Linked DNA regions of Macaca mulatta. The protein of the gene in region 3 purifies or fractionates together with the protein of the main gene of each other region. This does not show direct contact. Links are inferred from orthologs where the notes say so. Each region holds a gene or a part of one and is shown on either strand. Other genes may lie near its edges.

Region 1 (7,327 bases), on a different chromosome or scaffold from region 3:
GCTATTCTCATGCCTCAGCCTCCCTAGTAGCTGGAATTACAGGCATGTACCACCGCACCCAGCTAATTTTTTTCCATTTTTAGTAGAGACAGGGTTTTACCATGTTGACCAGGCTGCTCTTAAACTCCTGGCCTCAAGTGATCTTCCTGCCTCGGCCTCCCAAAGTGCTGGGATTACAGGCATGAGCCACCACGCCTGGCCTCAATGTGCATTTTGTAAATTATGTGGTTGGAAGGAAGTTAAACAGGAAAATTCGCTTAACCAGTATGTTGAAGGATTTCTAAAAGATCAGAAACAGGAACATCAATGCTCAATTGCTTGTGATACACCTTTTCCTCGGTGGGCTCTTCTCCACAGCTCCTACTGAAGATAATACAAAATTAAGTAAATAATAGTAGATTATTTACTTAATTATTTAAATCTTTTCATTCAAAGGTGAAGTATGAAGTAACAGAAGATGTGTACACGTCCAGAAAGAAACAACACCAGACCATGATGCATTATTTTTGTGCATTAAATACTCTTCAGTACAAGAAGAAAATAGCATTGTTAGAACCTCTACTTGGGTACATGCAAGCTCAGGTAAATACTGTACTGTATTTTGGATTATAACTGTCCTAAAAGCTTTATATTAAGCTTGATATTTACATTAAGTATAAAGATTTATAAACTATTTTCAACATCCTTGTTCATGTCTGTGGAAGTAATTTTAAAAAATGTCATCAGACTGTTATTTTAAGGAAGTTAGGAAGAATGGTTTTCCTTGCAAATGAAGATTTCAAATATTTTAGGGTAAATGAAACCACTTGTTCACCGTAGCTGGGGACTGAGAACAGAAAGCTAAATGAATTTCAGAGTTACACCTATTGCTGGAGCTTCAACTAAACACTTGCTTCATAATAGATCTGAAAGAGAATGAACAGGTTTGAGTTTATCCCATATTCCTTGCATACTTCCTGAGTTAAAAATAATAGATGAACTCCAGCGTGCCCCAAGGTACATCAGGAAGGGGGCTAGAAATTTGTTTTGGGTAGTATAAGACAAAGTGTCAGTCTCCTAAAAATTAAGAGTTTAAAGAAAATTGAGGCCAGGTGCGGTGCCTCATGCCTATAATCAAGCACTTTGGTAGGGCCGAGGTAGGAGAATCACTTGAGTCCAGGAGTTTAAGACTAGCCTTAGCAATGTAGGGAGACCCCATCTCTACAAAAATTGAAAAAATTAGTTGGGCTTGGTAGCATGTCTCCGTGGTCCCAGCAACTTGGGAGGCTGAGATGGAAGGATCCCTCGAGCCTAGGAGGCTGAGGCTGCAATGAGGTGTTACTGTGCAGTCTGGATGACAAAGCGAGACCCTGTCTCAAAAAAAAACAAAAAATTGAATCTATTTAAGTAAAAGAGTACTTTACTGATTATTCATCAGATAGAAAACTTATCTTTGTAGTAAACATGAAATACTTTATATAATTTGTTGGAAATACTTTAAAATTTATTTTCCAATTTTAAAAGATTGTTAACCATACATATGTATTACTTGTTCCAATTCAAAAAATATAAAAGGATATATAGTGGAATTTAAGTCTAACTTCCTTAATGGCTCCATGTGCAGTAGAAATCACAAACTACAATGTATTTTTACACAAATGGGAATATTCCTTTGTTTTTTACCTAACCATGTATCTTAGAGATTGTTTATATGATTTACTTTAAGTATTGCTTAATGTATTTTTGTATTGTTCAATTCCCCTGACTCCCTGCTCTCCAGATAAGTTTCTTTAAGATGGGTTCTGAAAATCTTAATGAACAACTGGAAGAATTTTTAGCTAATATTGGAACAAGCGTTCAGAAGTAAGTATTTTTTTCCTTAAAATTGAAAATGAAATGATGTGAATGATAGCTTAACAGCTCAGTGATATCAAATGTAAAGATATTTATCATTTAATTTCCTGAGTGAATATTTTCCCTGCCATGAGAGTTTCTTATATGGTTCATGGCTACTTCTTGTTTTTTTTTTTTTTTTTTTTTACCTCTTTTTTCCATAGATTGTGAACTTCGAATTTCTTAATGGTGATAATTTGATTCTAAACTCAGTTTTATGTCTGAATAAAACAGACACATAATAGTAATTCCCCATAAGTGAAATTATCTTTAAACTTGAAATTGTGGGAGTTTAATGGGAGATTACTAAATATTGTTTCCACGCCATGAAAGCTTAAAGACAGAGAGAAAGCAGTTCTCATCAGGTTCAAAATGCTGAGCAGTATATGTGGTCTGTCCACGGTATGGAGAGAGATGAAAGTGATTGTTGTTTTAAAGGCACAGGACCTCTGTTTTAAAGGCGCAGTTTGAAAATTATGCCAAAATCAGGGATTCAGTGGGGCTTCATTCATTTTTTGAATTTAGTATTGTTTCCAAAATATCTAAGTTTCAAATAAACTGTAAACCTGTTTTAAAATGTATTTGTGTTGTTTTAACCACGCATGCCACATTTCCTCTCTTTAAGAAAACATATCCAAAACAAATATGCAGGTAAACATGATTAGTAAGGAGTTCTACATTGATTGTGATTTATAGTAAATAATCTGTTCTGTATCAGTGTTCGCAGGGAAATGGACAGTGATATAGAGACCATGCAACAGACAATAGAGGATTTGGAAGTAGCCAGTGATCCCTTATATGTGCCTGACCCAGACCCCACCAAATTTCCTGTTAATCGAAATTTAACCCGAAAGGCTGGATACCTTAATGCTAGGAAGTAAGAAAACTATTGTTATTTTTGTATATTGTATATCATGTAAGACAATACCAAATGAATATAATAAATAATTGATGTCTGTCATATTGTTTTGATTTTTATTAAAGGTTGAAACTTTTTAGAGGTGTTAGTATTATGTGAACTTTTTGACAGATGAGGTACGTAAATACTTTTCAGAAGTAAAATCCTACCTAGCTATTTATTGAATAATGTAGAATGATAAAAGAAGTGAAACCAAGGCTGGGCGTGGTGGCTCACACCTGTGATCCCAGCACTTTGGGGGAGACCAAGGCAGGTGGATCACCTGAGGTCAGGAGTTCGAGACCAGCCTGGCCAACATGGTGGAGCCCCACCTCTACTAAAAATACAAAAATTAGCCAAGCATGGTGGCTTATGCCTGTAATCCCAGCTACTCAGGAGGCTGAGGCACAAGAATCACTTGAACCTGGGAGGCAGAGGTTGCGGTGACCCGAGATCGCGCCACTGCACTCTAGCCTAGGGGACAGAGTGAGACTCTTGTCTCAAAAAAAAAATGAACTGAAACTAATTTGAGTTTAAGTAAATATTCACATATGGTATCATCACATGAGAATGCTGCGAAATATCATTTATCATACTTTAATATATTTGTAATTATAGCACCAAGTCAAATGTTAGTTTTCACCTGATGATAGGATGAAGCAGGTTAACCCTAGAAATAAAATAAATTCTATTGTTTTGAATTTACTCCCTTGGAAGTTGAACTATAACCTGTATTTTATGGATCGTTATTATAACAGCCACAGTTTGATAATTTCCAGCCTTGTTTTGGAAACTGTATACACATTCACAAAAGTGAGTCAATATACATGAATTTATTTTAGAGACTGAAAGCATATTTATATTTAGTTTCTTGGCATCTTGGTGGCTTTTCGGAAGCCAGTTCTTTGTAACATGCTTTATCTTGTGTCTAGCTGATGATGAGATTCAGGTATGTTGTTATTAAAGAGTGAATGTGCTTTCTTCATTTAGTAAAACAGGCTTGGTGTCATCTACCTGGGACAGACAGTTTTACTTCACGCAGGGTGGAAATTTAATGAGTCAGGCCCGTGGGGATGTAGCAGGAGGCCTGGCCATGGACATAGACAACTGTTCAGTGATGGCTGTGGACTGTGAAGACAGACGATATTGTTTTCAGATCACTTCTTTCGATGGAAAAAAGTTAGTATTTTTTCCTACTACTAATTATCTATAATATTTTAAACTTCTGAAATGTGGGATAATTCCTTTTTGTTTAGAAATTTTATGGACATTTTAGGTTCATATGTATTAAGATAAATTGCTTTTTAATCTTGTAGAAATATATTGAATTTTTGTTTCTGTCTTGGTTAAATGGTTTGTTGATATTTTGAGGTTGTCAAAGCAATGTCATATAGTAAAGACCTGTGATTTCATGTTAGGGAACTGGAACTGAAAATCCTGTGTAGCATCGGGGAATACAGAACAAGTTCATGGAAAGAGTCCTAAACCTGGAGTCAGAAAGTTCAAATTCTGGATCCATTACTTACTCTGTGGTCTCAGACAGCAGAGTAATGTCTGTAACCCCTCTCAGCTCCATTTTTGTTCATGTAAAATGTGAGTGGGGGGGTTGTAATCCCTACTTCGTAAATTGTTGTGAGGAACAGAAATTCTAACATATGTAATGTGACTGACATACAGTAGGTGCTAACAACAGTGTTATTTTAAAATGTTAATCAAATATTTCTGATCAGATTATTTTTCCATTAATGTTTATAATACCATTTAAAAAAATTTCTATTACCTTTTTTTGAGGTGGGGTCTTACTATGTCTCCCTGGCTGGAATGCAGTGGTGTGAACATGGCTCACTGTAGCCCCAACCTCCTGGGCTCAAGGGATCCTCCCACCTCAGGATCCCAAGTTGCTAGGATCACAGGTGCATGCCACCATGTCTGGCAATTAAAAAAAATTTTTTTTGTAGAGATGTCTCATCATGTTGCCCAGGCTGGTCTCCAACTCCTGGACCTAAGTGGTCTTCCTGCGCTAGCCTCCCAAAGTGCTAGGATTATAGGCCTGGGCCACCACGCCCAAGCTTCTATTACTTTTGCATTAAATGAGAATCTTTAAAGTAGCATTTAAAAGAAATTTTCAAAAAGCATGGAAAGTTTAAAAAGGAGTATGAAAAAATTCTACTGTCTTATTAATCGAAAGCAACAATTAACTTTTTTGTCCATTGCCTTCCAATTTTTAACCTAAGTACATTTTAAAAATAGTTGAAGAAATACTGTAATTTGGATTTGCAGCCACCTATTAAAAACATGTTATAATGGCTATTCTATAATCTATTTAAGGACATACATTATAATTTAAACATTTTCCTAATGATAGATGTTTAGACTATCTGCCATTTTTCCCCCACTCAATTAAAATACTGCTTTTAACCTTTGAACTTTCTTAATTTAATAATCAGGAGCAGCCTCTGGGTTCCCTGAAAGTCATTTTTTTCCCCTGTATTTATGCACATTAAGATATTATACAAATAAATAAATTTGACCTTTACCCCTGAAAAAAAGATGCTATAGGCCAGGCTTGGTGGCTCACGCCTGTAATCCCAGCTCTTTGGGAGGCCAAGGTGGGTGGATCACCTGAGGTCAGGAGTTTGAGACCAGCCTGGCCAACATGGTGAAACCCAGTCTCTACTAAAAATACAAAAATTAGCTGGGCATTGTGGCAGGTGCCTGTAATCCTATCTACTTGGGAGGCTGACGCAGGGGGAATTGCTTGAACCCAGGAGGCAGAGGTTGCAGTGAGCCGAGATCGCGCCACTGCCTTCCAACCTGGGCAACAGAGTGAGACTTTGTCTCAAAAAAAAAAAAAAAAAAGATATTATAGCTCACTATCCTTTATCAAAATGGTTGTTTAATTTCACATTCCTTCTACAAACATACAATGAATGCCAATATTGTGTGGATTTATCCCACTAGATATTGGGAATCACTGTATTCATTTATCAAAATTACCAACTTGTTAACATGTTACTTACTATAAGTACTTACTTTTTGTTTAATGCTTACCTGATTTCCCATTTCATATTCCTGGTGTGATGCAAAATTAGTAAAAATTATTATTTTCTCTAACTCTAATATTATATCTGTAGAAAAGTGAATTAATGATATGTTAATGAGTAACATTGAAATATTTGATTTAATATTAAAGGAGAAATAATGAAGTAAAGTTTTTGCTATTAGGATCATTGATGCATATTTGAAATATATATGATAGTTCATAATATATAGGAAATATATATGATAAGTTGAAATGTATTGCCTTCACTGAAATGTAACTTTGTCATGGTCTGTCTTCTAAGGATCAGCACCTGTTTCCTTTTTGGTACATCTTGGGATAGGTAGCCAAAGTCAGAGTTGTTAAAGTCTGCATCCTGATACCTCTGGTGGTCTCCTTTTCCTAAGATACTGTTGGTTGTGTTTTGTTTTTGTTCTTTTAATACCGATTGGTTTTTATACATGCCTTTACCTTTAAAGATTAAAAAGTTCTCTCAGATTATGTTGAAAATACTTTTTTAAACAGTTGAGGCTCAAATGTCTCTTCTCTTCCAGATCTTCAATTTTGCAAGCAGAGAGTAAAAAAGATCATGAAGAGGTAAGATTTTACTTAGTTCATTTCTTCATTGACATTTAAAAATATTTCTCTGATGACAAAACATATATTAATATGTTTATTGTAGAAATTTTGGAAAATCCTAGTTAATTAAAAATCTTTCTTTTTCTTTTTTTGGTAAAGGTCTATTGTCCTTGAGCAATATTCTTGTTTCTCACAGAATTTTGTAGAGGGAGGGACCTTAGAGATCATCTCTGCTATTTTAAAGACTCAGATTGAGAAATGACCTTGTGACTGTTGCTGTCTGGCAGGCTGTTAGTATCATGAGGTGACAGTTTAATTTACTGTCTTCTCTCACCAATCCTTTGAGACACTATTTGCTGCACTAAGAACATAGTGGCAGCAGATGTGACATGGCAAGGAAACAACTAAAGCTGAAAATCTTGGAGAAATGAAAGATAGAAAAACAAAAATTTGGGAGTCTCTGTTCTTCCTCATGAGCCTTTTCTTTTTGACTCCATTTTTACTCCTACTATATCAGATATGGAAGGTAAGGTATTAGCAATAATTGATGCTTCAAACCTTTATCTTGAGAAACATTCTTCCATGAAAATATATCTTAGCTTGATTTTTCGCCTTTTAATTTGGCATTATAATTGTGTTGGTAAAAGATAAAAGTTGGAAATGCTATAGAGATCTACCTTTATTTACTTCTTATGGAAAAGAGTAATATTAAAACTTGCTTTCGGTCTCTGAGGAACACACACAAATGTCTCTGTTCTCTGCATAATTTACCAAATAAAATATTTGTTTAGATTAGTGAGGCTCATCAGGCACTTCAATCCTCGAGAGTGAAGCAAAAGATGTAGAGTGGAGATTTTCTATGCTAATTATTTATAAACTTGACAGAAGGGAGGCATGTAAAATATATTCGCCAAGAATATATTTGTCTTTTAAGTTTT
Region 2 (7,792 bases), on a different chromosome or scaffold from region 3:
ACTACTATTGAAGGGGGTAAACTTGCAACTATTCCAAAAAGATTTGTCTTATTCTCTGGCCATCTTGAACTTGAAAGGGAAGTGACTATGTCCAGAAAAAGTGGGCTCATGTAACTAACTGTAGTTCTAAAGCCTCAAGATAAGGGGCAATCAGATTTGAGGCTGAGAGAGGTAAACCAAGATTTTCTTTGAAGACACGGGCTTTAAGAAAGCAAAAGTGACCGAGCGTGTTGACTCACACCTGTAACGCCAAGGCAGGAGGATCACTTGAGCCTAGGATTTCGAGGGCAACCTGGGCAACAGCCAGACCTTGTCTCTGCAAAAAATTAAATATTAGTTGAGCACAGTGGCATGTGCCTGTAGTCCCAGCTACTTGGGAGGCTGGGGTGGAGGATGGCTTGAACCAGGGAGGTCAAGGCTGCAGTGAGCTGTCATCCTTGCTACTACTGCACTGTAGCTTGGGCAACAGAGCAATTGCCTGTCTCGGAGAGAGCAAAAGTAAGTTGCTGTTTGTATTCGTTTCAGGCCTTGGACAAGATTCGCTATGAGAGCTTAACAGACCCTTCGAAGTTGGACAGTGGTAAAGAGCTGAAAATTGACATCATCCCCAACCCTCAGGAACGTACCCTGACTTTGGTAGACACAGGCATTGGGATGACCAAAGCTGATCTCATAAATAATTTGGGAACCATTGCCAAGTCTGGTACTAAAGCATTTATGGAGGCTCTTCAGGTACTGCAGTTCTGTAGGCATACACCATTCATATTCATCAGTGTTCTTTATTTTTTTTGCTGCTTTAAATTTTGTGTTTGACTTTACAAAAACTTGTTGGCAGGCTGGTGCAGACATCTCCATGATTGGACAGTTTGGTGTTGGCTTTTATTCTGCCTACCTGGTGGCAGAGAAAGTGGTTGTGATCACAAAGCACAACGATGATGAACAGTATGCTTGGGAGTCTTCTGCTGGAGGTTCCTTCACTGTGCGGGCTGACCATGGTAAGTTAGCTTTTCTGTTACAAGGTAGCTGGGTTAGAGTTTTGTGGGCTCACCAGTAGCAGAAATTTTGAGCATCCTGTCAAGCAGTTCTTCATAGCAGTTCCGCTAATACTTTATTAATTTGGTGAAGTCTCAACTGCATATACTTTCGTCCTGTTACACGCTTATGATTGACTCTTCTAGGTGAGCCCATTGGCAGAGGTACCAAAGTGATCCTCCATCTTAAAGAAGATCAGACAGAATACTTGGAAGAGAGGCGGGTCAAAGAAGTAGTGAAGAAGCACTCTCAGTTCATAGGCTATCCCATCACCCTTTATGTGAGTATGGACTTTTAAACCTTTTACACTTAGCCTGCAGGATGTTTCCTGTTCTGGAGAATCTCGTGGTCCCTGGCTGCTTCTTTTCCTGGTGTTTTGTACTCCAAGGCTAATTTCTGTTTTTCTTACTTAGTTGGAGAAGGAGCGAGAGAAGGAAATTAGTGATGATGAGGCAGAGGAAGAGAAAGGTGAGAAAGAAGAGGAAGATAAAGATGATGAAGAAAAGCCCAAGATCGAAGATGTGGGTTCAGATGAGGAGGATGACAGTGGTAAGGATAAGAAGAAGAAAACTAAGAAGATCAAAGAGAAATACATTGATCAGGAAGAGCTAAACAAGACCAAGCCTATTTGGACCAGAAACCCTGATGACATCACCCAAGAGGAGTATGGAGAATTCTATAAGAGCCTCACCAATGACTGGGAAGACCACTTGGCAGTCAAGGTGAGAAGCCTTTGCATGTTGGGTCAACATGCAAATATGGAGAGGAATAAGTGGAAGAGTGTTGGCAGGTAATAGACACATGGAACGTGTCCAGCTGATAACAGAAATATGAGAGCCATGTATTTTCACTTACTGATTACCCGGTCATAGTGAAGTGCCATCCTTCCTAATGACCTCACTTTCTCTAAAGGAAATCTGGGTAATGTCTATTGGCAGCCTTACACATCCAGAGTTCTGATCAGAGCGGACTGTTTTCTATATACAGCTAGTATTCGTCTAGATCGTTGAGGGCATTAAGGCTCAGTTTTCTCGGGAACTGCCTGTGTGTGCGCTCTATCCGTTAGGCTTATGGGGAGGATCATTATTCCATTTTTAGGTAATTTGGTGTTGGGGCTAAAAGGCCCTCTTTTGAAATGTATCACTTATTTTTTGTTTTTTTCCAGCACTTTTCTGTAGAAGGTCAGTTGGAATTCAGGGCATTGCTATTCATTCCTCGTCGGGCTCCCTTTGACCTTTTTGAGAACAAGAAGAAAAAGAACAACATCAAACTCTATGTCCGTCGTGTGTTCATCATGGACAGCTGTGATGAGTTAATACCAGAGTATCTCAGTGAGTATCTCCTTGGCCTAATTTAGTTGGGTGAAGTCTTGGGAGGTTTTCGGCATTCTGCCAGAATATCCTAGGTTAAGGATTTTCTGCAATGCATAGTAAGTATAAGGGTTCAGGAGGCTATTAGAGCCTTCTGTTTGAATCTGGGTACCAGCTCTGGTCTAGCTATTTTTACTGAGCTTTCTTATCCTGGTTGATGGCAGATTTTATTCGTGGTGTGGTTGACTCTGAGGATCTGCCCCTGAACATCTCCCGAGAAATGCTCCAGCAGAGCAAAATCTTGAAAGTCATTCGTAAAAACATTGTTAAGAAGTGTCTTGAGCTCTTCTCTGAGCTGGCAGAAGACAAGGAGAATTACAAGAAATTCTATGAGGCATTCTCTAAAAATCTCAAGGTAAAGAGGCAAATGCTTATTCCCTTTACCACTTTCTTAGTAATTACTAACAAATTTTTCTATTCACATAGAAAGTGAATTGTAGTTAAGTTGGATTGTTTTTTCTCTTCCCACTCTTCAAGCTTGGAATCCACGAGGACTCCACTAACCGCCGCCGCCTGTCTGAGCTGCTGCGCTATCACACCTCCCAGTCTGGAGATGAGATGACATCTCTGTCAGAGTATGTTTCTCGCATGAAGGAGACACAGAAGTCCATCTATTACATCACTGGTGCGTTGGTTCTGATGGAAGCCTTTTTGGAGGAGTGGGGAGCACATTTCAGGGCTACCTAGGAACTGGCAGTATGAGGCATTTTAGTCACTGAGTCCATTTAATTACCCTACAGGTGAGAGCAAAGAGCAGGTGGCCAACTCAGCTTTTGTGGAGCGAGTGCGGAAACGGGGCTTCGAGGTGGTATATATGACCGAGCCCATTGACGAGTACTGTGTGCAGCAGCTCAAGGAGTTTGATGGGAAGAGCCTGGTCTCAGTTACCAAGGAGGGTCTGGAGCTGCCTGAGGATGAGGAGGAGAAGAAGAAGATGGAAGAGAGCAAGGCAAAGTTTGAGAACCTTTGCAAGCTCATGAAAGAAATCTTAGATAAGAAGGTTGAGAAGGTAAGCCATTCTGGAGCTAGGATATATTTTGTAACATACCTTTGAGGTGGGCTCCCTCACAATCATGTTTCTACACAATTAGTGGCTTGAGGCACCCTATTTACTGTTTGGAGCCTTCTTGGCTCTTGTTCTCTCCCCTAGCCAGGTTTAAGGCTATTTTAATAAAATTTGGCACAGATAAGGCATTGCTTCAGTTAACTTGTGAGAGTAGATAAAATATTATTTTCTTCTTTTTTTGACTGGATCTCAGCTCACTGCAAATTCAAGTCTCCTGAGTGGCTGGGATTACAGACATGTGCCACCACACCCGGTTAATTTTTTGTATATTTTGTAGAGAGAGGGTTTTGCCAGGTTGGTCTCAAACTCAAGTGATCGGCCCCACCTCCTCCTCCTCCCCCTGCTGGAATTACAGGCTTGACAGTGTCCGTTTTCTCTTTCAAAGTGGTCACTGATCTAATGCAAATCTAAGGCTTTTGTGATTGTCCACAGGTGACAATTTCCAATAGGCTTGTGTCTTCACCCTGCTGCATTGTGACCAGCACCTATGGCTGGACAGCCAATATGGAGCGGATCATGAAAGCCCAGGCACTTCGGGACAACTCCACCATGGGCTATATGATGGCCAAAAAGCACCTGGAGATCAACCCTGACCACCCCATTGTGGAGACTCTGCGGCAGAAGGCTGAGGCCGACAAGAATGATAAGGCAGTTAAGGACCTGGTGGTGCTGCTGTTTGAAACCGCCCTGCTCTCTTCAGGCTTTTCCCTTGAGGATCCCCAGACCCACTCCAACCGCATCTACCGCATGATCAAGCTAGGTCTAGGTAAGCAGCTTTGGTACTTGATGTGGCAAGGAGTTTGTGCAACTAGGCTCCTGTCTGGATTTGACTTAATGCTATTTAATCAAGTCTTACATGGCTTAATTTTACTTTAGGTATTGATGAAGATGAAGTGGCAGCAGAAGAACCCAGTGCTGCAGTTCCTGATGAGATTCCCCCTCTTGAGGGCGATGAGGATGCGTCTCGCATGGAAGAAGTCGATTAGAAGTTCATAGTTGGAAAACTTGTGCCCTTGTATAGTGTCCCCGTGGCTCCCACTGCAGCCTCAAGTGCCCCTGTCCCACCTGGCTCCCCCTGCTGATGTCTAGTGTTGTTTTTCCTCTCCTGTCCTTGTGTTGAAGGCAGGAAACCAAGGGTGTCAAGCCCCATTCCCTCTCTACTCTGACAGCAGGATTGGATGTTGTGTGTTGTGGTTTATTTTATTTTCTTCATTTTGTTCTGAAATTAAAGTATGCAAAATAAAGAATATGCCGTTTTTATACACTTTTGCTCTCCCTTGTGAAGTGGATGTTAATTCTTCCCTAGCTTCTCTATCCCCCCAGCTCTTGCTGTTTTCATGAGCACAGCAAGTTAAGCTGGTTTTGTAGCTAAGATACAGAATACCAGTGAGTCTTAAGAGTGCACACACTGAAGCCAAAGGCAGTTTTTCTGAAAAACTACCGTATAATAATGCCTTTTCAGTCAACCAAAACACAGGACCAAGCCCATTACAGTAATTTAATTTAATAAAATAAAATTATAAGAGCAAAAAGTTACATTTCTAAAGTACCAAAACCTACAACAGGCTCATGGAGTAGAGCCTAGGGATCCAGGAGCATAGGAGGTGGTGGTGCTGGGCAGGGATCTGCATCCCCTTTCCACAACACAGCACCATCTTCACTTCACCCCCCTGGGAAAGCAGCATTGGAGCCTACACCGCTTGTGCTTTTCTCACCAGGGTAAGAAATGCAGGTATTTGCAGAGGGGAGTCTGGAAGGCAGCAGAGCACAGCTAGGGCAAGACTTAAGGAAACTTCTGGGAGGGGGAACTGTGGAACCTACCTATGCCCTCTTGACCCCAAACTCCCCCTCACTGAGGACTATCTCTACCCTGGGGCTCAGAATAAACTGCCTGCTGGAAGATGGGTGACTTAAGGCAAAAGGGAAGGCTGCCTCCTGGGCTCCCCACCCCCTGCTGCAGAGTCTATGATACTGAGAAAACACCTGCATTTTGCCCTTTGAGCCAGCTCCCTCGGGTTACAGTAGGAGAAAATGGTGAGAAGACTATTTCACTTCACCCCTCAGGCCCTCTCCACCCTCAAACCTTCTGCACAGGAGACTCAACAGGCACAGCCTTCTTTCCCCGTTGCTTTAGACGGCCCCGCGCGTAGACTCTGAGTAGGAGGGCAGCAAAGACCACAGCCACTCCCAGCCCTCCCACCACAGTGACAGTGTGGCCATAGAGAAGGCAGGAAAGAAGGATGGCAAAGGCCTGGCGGAGGGTCATGATGATGGTGAAGACAGCAGCCCCGAACTGCCCAATGGTGTAAAAGATGAAGAGCTGGCCACATGCAGAGCAGATGGAGAGTAGCAGGGCATGGGCAGCAAACTCACTGTGTCGCCCCATGAAGCGGGTTCCCTCCAGGAGGGCCCCCTGTTCTAGCAGTGAGCCTACTGTGAAGAGGCAGGAGAAGAAATTGACCCCAAACATCATCTGCACCGATGACATCTTATAGGCAAATAGGGCATCCTGCCAGTTTGAAGTGAAGCTGTCAAAAGCAATATAACCTGCCAGTAAGATGAGGCCTGAGAGTGTGGTGGCCGGAGAGCTGCGGGGCTCTGGTCCGCTGGATAGCAGAAACATGCTGACCCCGATGGAGATGAGGGTGGCTGTCAGGTACTCCCAGTGTTCGTAGCTGCGCCGAGACACAAGCTTTCCCATCAGCATGACAGGGATCACCTTAGAGGCCTTGGCCAGCACCTGGGTGGGGAAGCTGACGAACTTAAGAGCTTCGTATTGGCACCAGCTGCTAAGCACATTGGACAGACTCGCAAAGGAGTACCGGTACATGGGTGCCCCATGCCGGGGCTGCTTGCAGAGGACACAGGAGAGGCCAGCCACAATCAGTGCCAGCACTCGGTTCATTAGCACCAGGAACTGCGAGTCTGTAAAGCGCTCACCCGGTGATGTGGCTGTGGCCCCATAGCTACGGGTCATCACTCTTTCCTGCAGCACACCCCAAGTCAGGTAAGATACCTGTTGGGGAAGGTAGAGGCAAAGGAGACAATAAGCAAGATAATGAAAAGGTAGACAAAAATGGACTTCTCCCTCTTCTTCAGGATGATGCCTAAGTGATTCAAAGGAAAATATACACTTTTTGGTTCCTCTGTAGAAGTTTCTTCTCCCAAGTCTGGATTCACCTTGTAGGGAATCAACTGTGTGTGAAAAACCAATTCAGGGAGGCAAGAACTCTCAGAATTGGGTATCTGTAGTTCAACATGGTATTCAAGGTAGAACTAGTACCCACTGCAAAATGCCATGGGGCCCGCATCTTAGCACTCTCTCACATGCAGTACTGGGGGAAGGCTGAATGGCTCCCCCACAATTTTATCAGTGGGTTTACAGTATGTGAGACACCAGTGCAGGAAGGAAGTATAATAACGGCACAGTAGAAATCACAGAGAATAGGGCAAGTCTTCTGCACCAGACATCTCGAAACAACAGTATGAACTTTCAGTACCAGTGCTGGAGAGAAGAGGAAAGAAAAGAGCATTTCCCCCAAACACCTCCAAGATGGAGGTGCAGTGTGCCTCTGGGAGCAGGACACAAAACACGCCAACTAGCAAAGCCCTGGGACTGGTAAAATGGAAACCTTCGCAGAATCCCTGCCCACTGGCATCCAACCCAGGAAGAGAGCCTGAGCCCACCTACCCACCTGGAGTCCTGTGGCACAGAAGAGCAGCTTCAGGGCCTGCCACATCGGGGTGGTCTCTGCCGCCTCTGTTCGGGGCGCCAGGGGAACCTCATCAGAGGCCTTGGGCTCATTGCCAAAGACACAAGCTTTCACCAGGGGAAAGCAGAGGCCCCTACCTGAAGAAAGCACACAAAGTCAAGCCCCAAATCTCCGTGGCACTTCCTCTTCCCCAGAGCAGCCAGCCTGCCCTGCTGTCCGGCCTACCGTCCTCCCGCCCTCTCCAAGTCATATCCCGTTTGGACTGCTGGCCAAATACCCTCCTTCCCGACCTAGCTCACTTCCCCGCCCTTTCTTCACACACCGGTCTCCAGGTAGTTCTTCCGCCTGAAGTACTGCACCAGGAGGTAGCCAGGTACCATAAAGCTGGCATAGCCAGCAGCATTCACCAAAAATCGGAAGAACCATAGCTGGGTCCATGACTCCGGAGGGGCTTCGGGAGTCTCCCCACCCGCCCCTAGGGAGGGGAACGCAGCCAGCACCACCACTGCCCACCACCTGTAAGGAAAGCGGACATAAGCATTAGGGCGCAGTTATCCCCCCCGCTCTCCAGAGGGGACTACACTGGAGTAGTGCCCGGAGTCTCCCCGCCC
Region 3 (7,327 bases):
TTCTCTGTGGCACGTAAGTGTCCCCTCAGCCTTTCGGGATTCAGATTTGGGGTTGGCTGGAGCCCTCTTTGCCCACCAGGCCCCCCGATGGGGGTGCCCTGGAGCCTCCATGTTCTGGGCCAGCAAGCAACAAGCACGGGTTGGGTGGGGGTCTCTGGGCTGAGTCCCGAGGCTGGCTGGGCAGGGGTCTCCAGGCTGAGTCCCAAAGCCGAGGCTGACTGGGTGGGGGTCTCCAGGCTGAGTCCTAAGGCTGAGGCTGGCTAGGCGAGGGTCTCTGGGCCGAGTCCCGAGGCCGAGGCTGGCTGGGCAGGGGTCTCTGAGCTGAGTCCTGAGGCTGGCTAGGCGGGGGTCTCTGGGCCGAGTCCCGAGGCCGAGGCTGGCTGGGCAGGGGTCTCTGAGCTGAGTCCTGAGGCTGGCTAGGCGGGGGTCTCTGGGCCGAGTCCCGAGGCCGAGGCTGGCTGGGCAGGGGTCTCTGAGCTGAGTCCTGAGGCTGGCTAGGCGGGGGTCTCTGGGCCGAGTCCCAATGCTGGCTGACTGTGGAGCAGTTCCCTGGTGCCCATGCTCTGGAGGCTGGAGGGTCCAGACAAGTGGTAGCAGAGCCTAGCCTCAGGGTGGACAGCTGACCCGGGGGCCCCTCCTCCAAGCGGGGCAGATAGAGCCCACCTGGGTCTCTAGCTCTGAAGCCTCCATCACTCGAGGAAGAGCTCATGCCTCTGCCCGCACAGGCGCTCGGTCCCCAAACCCCGTGGCGGAACCTTTGCTTCCCTCTGTGAGGCTGCAGGCTGGAAGCCTCCTTGCCCACGAAGGGGCGGGTGCAGAAAGGCCAGCGGGGGACCTTGGCCAGAGCATCCCACAGAGATGAGAGACGTGACACTCCCTGCTTCGCCCTGCTGTGGCTTTATTTCCTACCTGTAGCGGGGGCAGGTGCGACCCTACCCATGTTAGACGGGAACCCTGGCATGGAGACCCAGGCGCCCTGCTAGGTGGGAGGCTGGGGGCACGTGGGCCTCCCAGCATGGTCCCCATTTTCTGTGTCCCTGTCCTGGAGCCCAGCTCTGCCCGTGGCAGCCAAAGGTGTGATTGAGTAGCTAAGTAGGACCCAGTTGTGGGCCATCTGTATGTGGCAGGGCTGCGTAACTTGCCCCACGCCCTCCCCAGTGTCTCCTTGGTTGGGGCTGGGGGCTTCAGGGATCAGGGAGAGGCTGGATACTCGCTGTGTGCCTGGTGGCACCTGGGACAGGGCCTTGCTGGGGACGGGTGCTGTGGGTGTGCTCGCCAGGCCGAGGCATCAGGAAGGAAGGAAGAGGGGAGCTCTCTGGGGAGGCACACGGGTGGGTACCAGCTGGGGTGGTGCCTGAGCAGCCGGCAAGGCTGGGGCCTTCAGATGAGGCCATAGGTGGGTGGTCTGGAGTGCCTGGCCAAGGAGCAGAGCTGGGCAGGGGCCAGGAGCTTTTCTCCGGGGAAGGGTTCCGGGGCAGTGGGCTCGAGACCCTGGCCCTGGGGATTGCATATTAGGGCAGATCAGACCATCCAGGAGCAAGTGGGAGGTGGGTGTGCCGGGGCTTCACACTGGTTTCCACTTCTCTGGCCTGTGTTGACACAGGCCACCCTCCCCACCAGGCTGGTCCCGAGCCCCCTCCTGGCCCCCAGGCCTGGAAGACAGCTCCCTCGCTGCCTGGCCAGGCCCCCTTGTGGTTGCCAGGGCCTCGATGCTGGAATGTCAGAGGCCCCCTACTGGCCCCTCAGCCCCCTCCTGCTTTGCACAGGCTGGGCCAGAGCCTGCCAAGGAGCCCCAGCGGCTACACACTGCACTCACTCACACCTCTCAGGGCCCCGCACGTTCCCACAGCCCTCAGGGTGTATGTGCAGTAGGAATGGCTGTGCCCCACGTATGTGTTCCCCAGGTGTGTGTGCGCTCCAGGTGTGTGTGTGCCCCAGGTGTGGCTGTGCACCAGATGTGGCTGTGCCCCAGGTGTGTGTGTGCCCCAGATGTGGCTGTGCCCCGAGTGTGGGTGTGCCCCGGGTGTGGGTGTGTTCCACGTGTGGGTGTACCCCTGGTGTGACTGTGTGCCCCAGGTGTGGCTGTGTTCCGAGTGTGGCTGTGCCCCACATGTGGGTGTGCCCCGGGTGTGACTGTGCCCCAGATGTGGGTGTGCCCTGGGTGTGACTGTTCTGGGTGTGGCTGTGCCCCACATATGTGTGTGCCCCGGGTGTGGGTGTGCTCCAGGTGTGGGTGTGCCCCAGATGTGGGTGTGCCCTGGGTGTGGGTGTGCTCCAGGTTTGGGTGTGCACCAGGTGTGGGTGTGCACCAGGTATGGTGTGCCCCAGGTGTGGCTGTGCCCCAGGTGTGGCTGTGCCCCGGGTGTGACTGTGCACCAGGTGTGGTGTGCCCCGGGTGTGGTGTGCCCCAGGTGTGGCTGTGCACCAGGTGTGGCTGTGCCCCCAGGTGTGCGTGTGCCCCCAGGTGTATTTCCCAGGTACTCAGGGTGAGATTGGGAAAATAGCAGGACATTTCTACACTAGGTGGGACAAGCTGCTTTCTGGGGTGGCCCCCTCATGCCAGCCCCTCTGTGGGATCTCCATATCCCTCATCCTCTGAGGCCTGGTGCACGGTGGGGCTCAGTGACTGAAGGAAGGGGACTGTAGGAGGGGACGATGCGGGGGGGTTGACCTGACCTTGGGCCAGATGCCCTTTGGGGCTGCCTCAACCTGGAATAGAGTGTCTGAGCTGGAATGGGGGTCCTAGCCCCACTCTATGAGGCGAGAAACTGAGGCTTGGAGAGAGGAGGAGGTGGGGCTTCCTAGGACTTGTGGGTGGTATGCAAGGGGAGCTGGCTGGTGCGGTGGGGACTGTGGTGAGGGCCCTGGGAGGGGCAGGGGGATGCATGCAGACAGAGGCTCTGCTTGCCCGCAGAGTGCCAGCTGATGAAGACGGAGCGGCCCCGGCCCAACACCTTCATCATCCGCTGCCTGCAGTGGACCACTGTCATCGAACGCACCTTCCACGTGGAGACTCCCGAGGAGCGGTACGTGGGCTGCGGCGGCCAGGCCGGGCACTTGGGCAGCCCTAGCGCTTAGGAGGGACGTGGGGATGGCGGGTGCTGGGCGCCTCTGCCTATAGCCATCCTTACTCCCCAGTGATCCCAGGCCCTCCTCAGAGCCCGGTTTGGAAACTGGCCCAGTCCTGTGGGGTTGGGTGGGGAAACTGAGGCTGGAGATAAAAACTGTCTAGGGACCGGGCACAGTGGCCGACATCTATAATCTTGGCACTTTGGGAGGCTGAGATGGGCAGATCACTTGAGACCAGGAGTTCAAGACCGGCCTGGCCAACATGGTGAAACCCCCGCCTCTACTAAAAATATAAAACTTAGCTGGGTGTGGTGGTGCACACCTGTGATCCCAGCTACTTGGGAGGCTGAGGCACAAGAATTGCTTGAACCCAAGAGGCGGAGGCCGCAGTGAGCCGAGATTGTACCAGTGCACTCCAGCCTGGGTGATAGAGCAAGCCTGGGGGGCGGAGTCCTGCTGTGGGCCTGGGTCCTGCTGGGGGTTGGAGTTTGCCTGTGGGGACAGAGCCCTGCTGGGGGCTTGAACCCTACTTGGGGGCTAAGCCTGCGTGTCCCTCAGGTCCAGAAGGGCTTTCTGACCCTGAGTGTGTGTGGCCAGCCCAGGTCAAGGGGTGGCCTCCTCAGGGCTGTCTCTGGGGACCCCGCTTGTGAGGCTGGAGGGTGGGTGTAAGCCGTGGGGTGGAGCTCCTGACCTCATGGGGTGAGGTGCAGGGCTACAGCCTCACCTGACCTCCTGCAGGGAGGAGTGGACAACCGCCATCCAGACAGTGGCCGATGGCCTCAAGAAGCACGAGGAGGAGATGATGGACTTCCGGTCGGGCTCACCCAGCGACAACTCAGGGGCTGAAGAGATGGAGGTGTCCCTGGCCAAACCCAAGCACCGTGTGGTAAGGCCTGTCCCCCTTTCTGCCTATGCCTGGGGCTACCTTGGGCTGTGGAGAGCTGGGTGGGTCATGGGGTCCCAGCTTGGCCCAGGAGACACTCAGCACTCCACAGCATCCCCATCTAGGCCGGTTTTCCATGTGGGGCGCAGCTGCTTCCCAGGTGGGTCCTCTTCCCTATGTCAGAGAAATAGTGGGGCTGCTGAGCCCTGCCAGGCTTGGGCAGTGTTACCCCACCCTTCCCCGAACCCCACGCTCTGAGCTAGGGCTGCACCGTGTGTTCCCTGTAAGTCCGGACTCCCCGCTGAGCCCCGCAGGCCACCAGGTGTGAAGCGGTCGCCTCTCCTGGCTCCGCCTCCAAGTCTGCCAAGGGTGACTCTGGGGCCCCCATGCCACCTGACACATGCCGACCAGCTGGGCACTGTGGGCAGCGCCCCCCGCTGACCCTGGTGCCTGCCCACAGACCATGAACGAGTTTGAGTACCTGAAGCTGCTGGGCAAGGGCACTTTCGGGAAGGTGATCCTGGTGAAGGAGAAGGCAACGGGCCGCTACTATGCCATGAAGATCCTCAAGAAGGAGGTCATCGTGGCCAAGGTGGGGCCGGGGTGGTGGGGCAGGGTGGAGACGAGGATGCTGGGCGGCAGCTCACCCAGCCCTGCCTTACAGGACGAGGTGGCCCACACACTCACCGAGAACCGTGTTCTGCAGAACTCCAGGCACCCCTTCCTCACGGTGAGTGGGAGCCCAGATGGGGCTGAAGGGCTGGGGTCAGGTGGCGACTCCTGGGGCTGTCTCTAGGGAACGATGTCCTGTCTTCTTGGGCACGTGAGGACTTTACGCACCGCGGATTCTGCCGCTGGTGACAGGCCTGCCCCGGAGGGTCAGGCTGTGGAGGTGCCCGATGTGGGCTGGGGGCTGTGCTCGCCGCTCCTGTGTGCAGGCAGGTGGGGCAGGTGGCCCTGGTCGTCTTTGCACTCTGCCGAGGCTCCGGGAGGCCCCAGCTCCCCATGCCCTGCAGCCCTGCCTGCCAGGCTTCTGTTGAGGCCCGGGCTCTGTCCTGGGGAGCCCGTTCTGGGGACTCGACCCAGGAGGTATTTACTGTGAAGGGGGCCAGACTCCAGCCACGTGGTTAGTTCCAGGTCACTGTGTTTGGGGATGATTCTCCTGCAGAAGGGGCCTTTGCTTTAAAAGCACAGCCGCCTGTGGTGGAAGGCAGGAAGGTGGCTCTGCCTGGGAGGGTGCATCCTCCCTTGCCAGGGCTCTGGTGCTGGGAGCACTGCCCCCTGTTGAGGTCCCAACCCGCCCTGGAGACCTGAGCCCAGGCCACTTTGCTCACCTTTCAAACACTCCTTGGCGCCTCAGGGGCTGCCAGGGCCCAGCCTGATGGCGTGGTGTGGGGGTGTGGCATGAGGCAGTGTGATGTGGGGGTGTGTGGTGTGGGACAATGTGGTGTGAGACAGTGTGATGTGGGGGTGTGTGGTGTGGGACAATGTGGTGTGAGGCAGTGTGATGTGGGGGTGTGTGGTGTGGGACAATGTGGTGTGAGACAGTGTGATGTGGGGGTGTGTGGTGTGGGACAATGTGGTGTGAGACAGTGTGATGTGGGGGTGTGTGGTGTGGGACAATGTGGTGTGAGGCAGTGTGATGTGGGGGTGTGGTGCGGGGCAGCGTGGTGTGGGGCAGCGTGGTATCGGGCAATGTGGTGTGAGGCAGCGTGGCGTGGGGCTACGGGTGGCATGGTATCGGGTGGCATGGTATCAAGCAGCATGGTATCAGGCAGCGTGGTGTCGGGCAGCATGGTGTGGGGCTACGGGTGGCATGGTATCAAGCAGCATGGTATCGGGCAGCGTGGTGTGGGGCTGCTGTCCTGCCCGTGGGGCTGCAGTTCCAGCTCCGCTTCCTTGCAGGCCCTGAAGTACTCCTTCCAGACCCACGACCGCCTCTGCTTCGTCATGGAGTACGCCAATGGGGGCGAGGTAGGGGCTGGGGCTGCGGGGGATGGGCCTCACGGCCTGTGGACCCAGCCCTGGCAGCTGGGCCACCCATAGTGGGGCTGGTCCTTCCCGGAACCTCGGCTACTCTCCACAGCACCAGACGGTGCTCCCTGCTGGGTGGGTGGTATGACGCCTGCCCAGGCAGCTGCCTGCTGTGGGGTGACTTGTTCCTGCTGAGTTAGGGCTTCTGAGACTTTCCAGGCCCCCGTGCCCTCTGGGGGCTGGTCCCTTCCCTGTGCCCAATGCCCTGAGCCCCTGCCTGAGAAACCCCAACCCTGCAGGCCGTGGGGGCAGAGGCCCCGGCCACGGCTGTGCCTCAGGTCGTGCTTCCCACAGCTCTTCTTCCACCTGTCCCGGGAGCGTGTGTTCTCTGAGGACCGGGCCCGCTTCTATGGCGCCGAGATCGTGTCAGCCCTGGACTACCTGCACTCGGAGAAGAATGTGGTGTACCGGGACCTCAAGGTGCGCCGGCGGGCACTCGGGGTGGGGGCAGGGCCCTGGGAGCCTGGCGGCACTGACCTGAGGCCACCTTTCCCCTAGCTGGAGAACCTCATGCTGGACAAGGACGGGCACATTAAGATCACAGACTTCGGGCTGTGCAAGGAGGGGATCAAGGACGGCGCCACCATGAAGACCTTCTGCGGCACACCTGAGTACCTGGCCCCCGAGGTGTGCGCCCCACCTGTGTGCATACGCGTCGCTGTGTCCCCACGTCCCGAGCACACGCAAAGCTGTGTCCTCTCTGTGCCCCAAGCACGTCACGACACCTCCCCCGGACACCCCCTGATGCCGAGTCCTGCCCATCTGCCGCCCGTGCAGGTGCTGGAGGACAATGACTACGGCCGTGCGGTGGACTGGTGGGGGCTGGGCGTGGTCATGTATGAGATGATGTGCGGCCGCCTGCCCTTCTACAACCAGGACCACGAGAAGCTTTTTGAGCTCATCCTCATGGAGGAGATCCGCTTCCCGCGCACGCTTGGTCCTGAGGCCAAGTCCTTGCTCTCAGGGCTGCTCAAGAAGGACCCCAAGCAGAGGTGAGGGCCACCCATCCCGGCTGCAGGCTCCACCTCCATCCCCTCACCCCCAGGCTGCACCTGCCCCTGTGCCAGGCGGTCCTGGCACCTCCCAGACTACACTGACAGCCAGAGCTTGATGTCCTTGGCCAGGGCTGATCCCCAAAGCCTCAGGCACAGGCAGAGTGGCTGGGTAGGGCAGGGTCAGTTGGGCCTCCATCCCCAACCCTGCAGCCCCCACACCCCCAACTCAGGAAGCCCCTGCCTGCCGTGAGCCCTGGGGTGCTTTGCTCCCCACAGCTGCTCAGGGATGCTGCACCACCGGTTGCCCTCCCTGGCCCCAGAACGTCCTGTCCGGCGGGCCCTACAT

Evidence for each region.
Region 1: the proteins of AKT1 (region 3) and APPL1 purify together in Homo sapiens (affinity purification with western blotting; 3 studies listed by BioGRID, with this or other methods). This does not show direct contact. The link is inferred for Macaca mulatta from reciprocal best matches to the Homo sapiens genes AKT1 and APPL1.
Region 2: the proteins of AKT1 (region 3) and HSP90AB1 purify together in Homo sapiens (co-immunoprecipitation; 3 studies listed by BioGRID and IntAct, with this or other methods). This does not show direct contact. The link is inferred for Macaca mulatta from reciprocal best matches to the Homo sapiens genes AKT1 and HSP90AB1.

What each region holds. Positions count from the first base shown.
Region 1 is NC_133407.1:120,804,575-120,811,901, forward strand, and holds part of APPL1 (DCC-interacting protein 13-alpha), read left to right. Parts: intron 1-435; coding exon 436-582; intron 583-1,759; coding exon 1,760-1,842; intron 1,843-2,590; coding exon 2,591-2,749; intron 2,750-3,760; coding exon 3,761-3,949; intron 3,950-6,364; coding exon 6,365-6,407; intron 6,408-7,327. UniProt on the Homo sapiens protein: Multifunctional adapter protein that binds to various membrane receptors, nuclear factors and signaling proteins to regulate many processes, such as cell proliferation, immune response, endosomal trafficking and cell metabolism.
Region 2 is NC_133409.1:137,860,166-137,867,957, reverse strand, and holds the end of HSP90AB1 (heat shock protein HSP 90-beta), read left to right. Parts: intron 1-525; coding exon 526-732; intron 733-835; coding exon 836-995; intron 996-1,178; coding exon 1,179-1,312; intron 1,313-1,445; coding exon 1,446-1,754; intron 1,755-2,197; coding exon 2,198-2,363; intron 2,364-2,566; coding exon 2,567-2,757; intron 2,758-2,879; coding exon 2,880-3,027; intron 3,028-3,142; coding exon 3,143-3,411; intron 3,412-3,900; coding exon 3,901-4,234; intron 4,235-4,344; coding exon 4,345-4,454; 3' UTR 4,455-4,732; downstream 4,733-7,792. Other genes in the region: SLC35B2 (adenosine 3'-phospho 5'-phosphosulfate transporter 1), read right to left, coding at 5,546-6,484, 7,164-7,318, 7,504-7,697. UniProt on the Homo sapiens protein: Molecular chaperone that promotes the maturation, structural maintenance and proper regulation of specific target proteins involved for instance in cell cycle control and signal transduction. Undergoes a functional cycle linked to its ATPase activity.
Region 3 is NC_133412.1:178,212,949-178,220,275, reverse strand, and holds part of AKT1 (RAC-alpha serine/threonine-protein kinase), read left to right. Parts: coding exon 1-13; intron 14-2,914; coding exon 2,915-3,026; intron 3,027-3,807; coding exon 3,808-3,955; intron 3,956-4,412; coding exon 4,413-4,544; intron 4,545-4,616; coding exon 4,617-4,682; intron 4,683-5,857; coding exon 5,858-5,926; intron 5,927-6,280; coding exon 6,281-6,406; intron 6,407-6,484; coding exon 6,485-6,613; intron 6,614-6,763; coding exon 6,764-6,978; intron 6,979-7,327. UniProt on the Homo sapiens protein: AKT1 is one of 3 closely related serine/threonine-protein kinases (AKT1, AKT2 and AKT3) called the AKT kinase, and which regulate many processes including metabolism, proliferation, cell survival, growth and angiogenesis.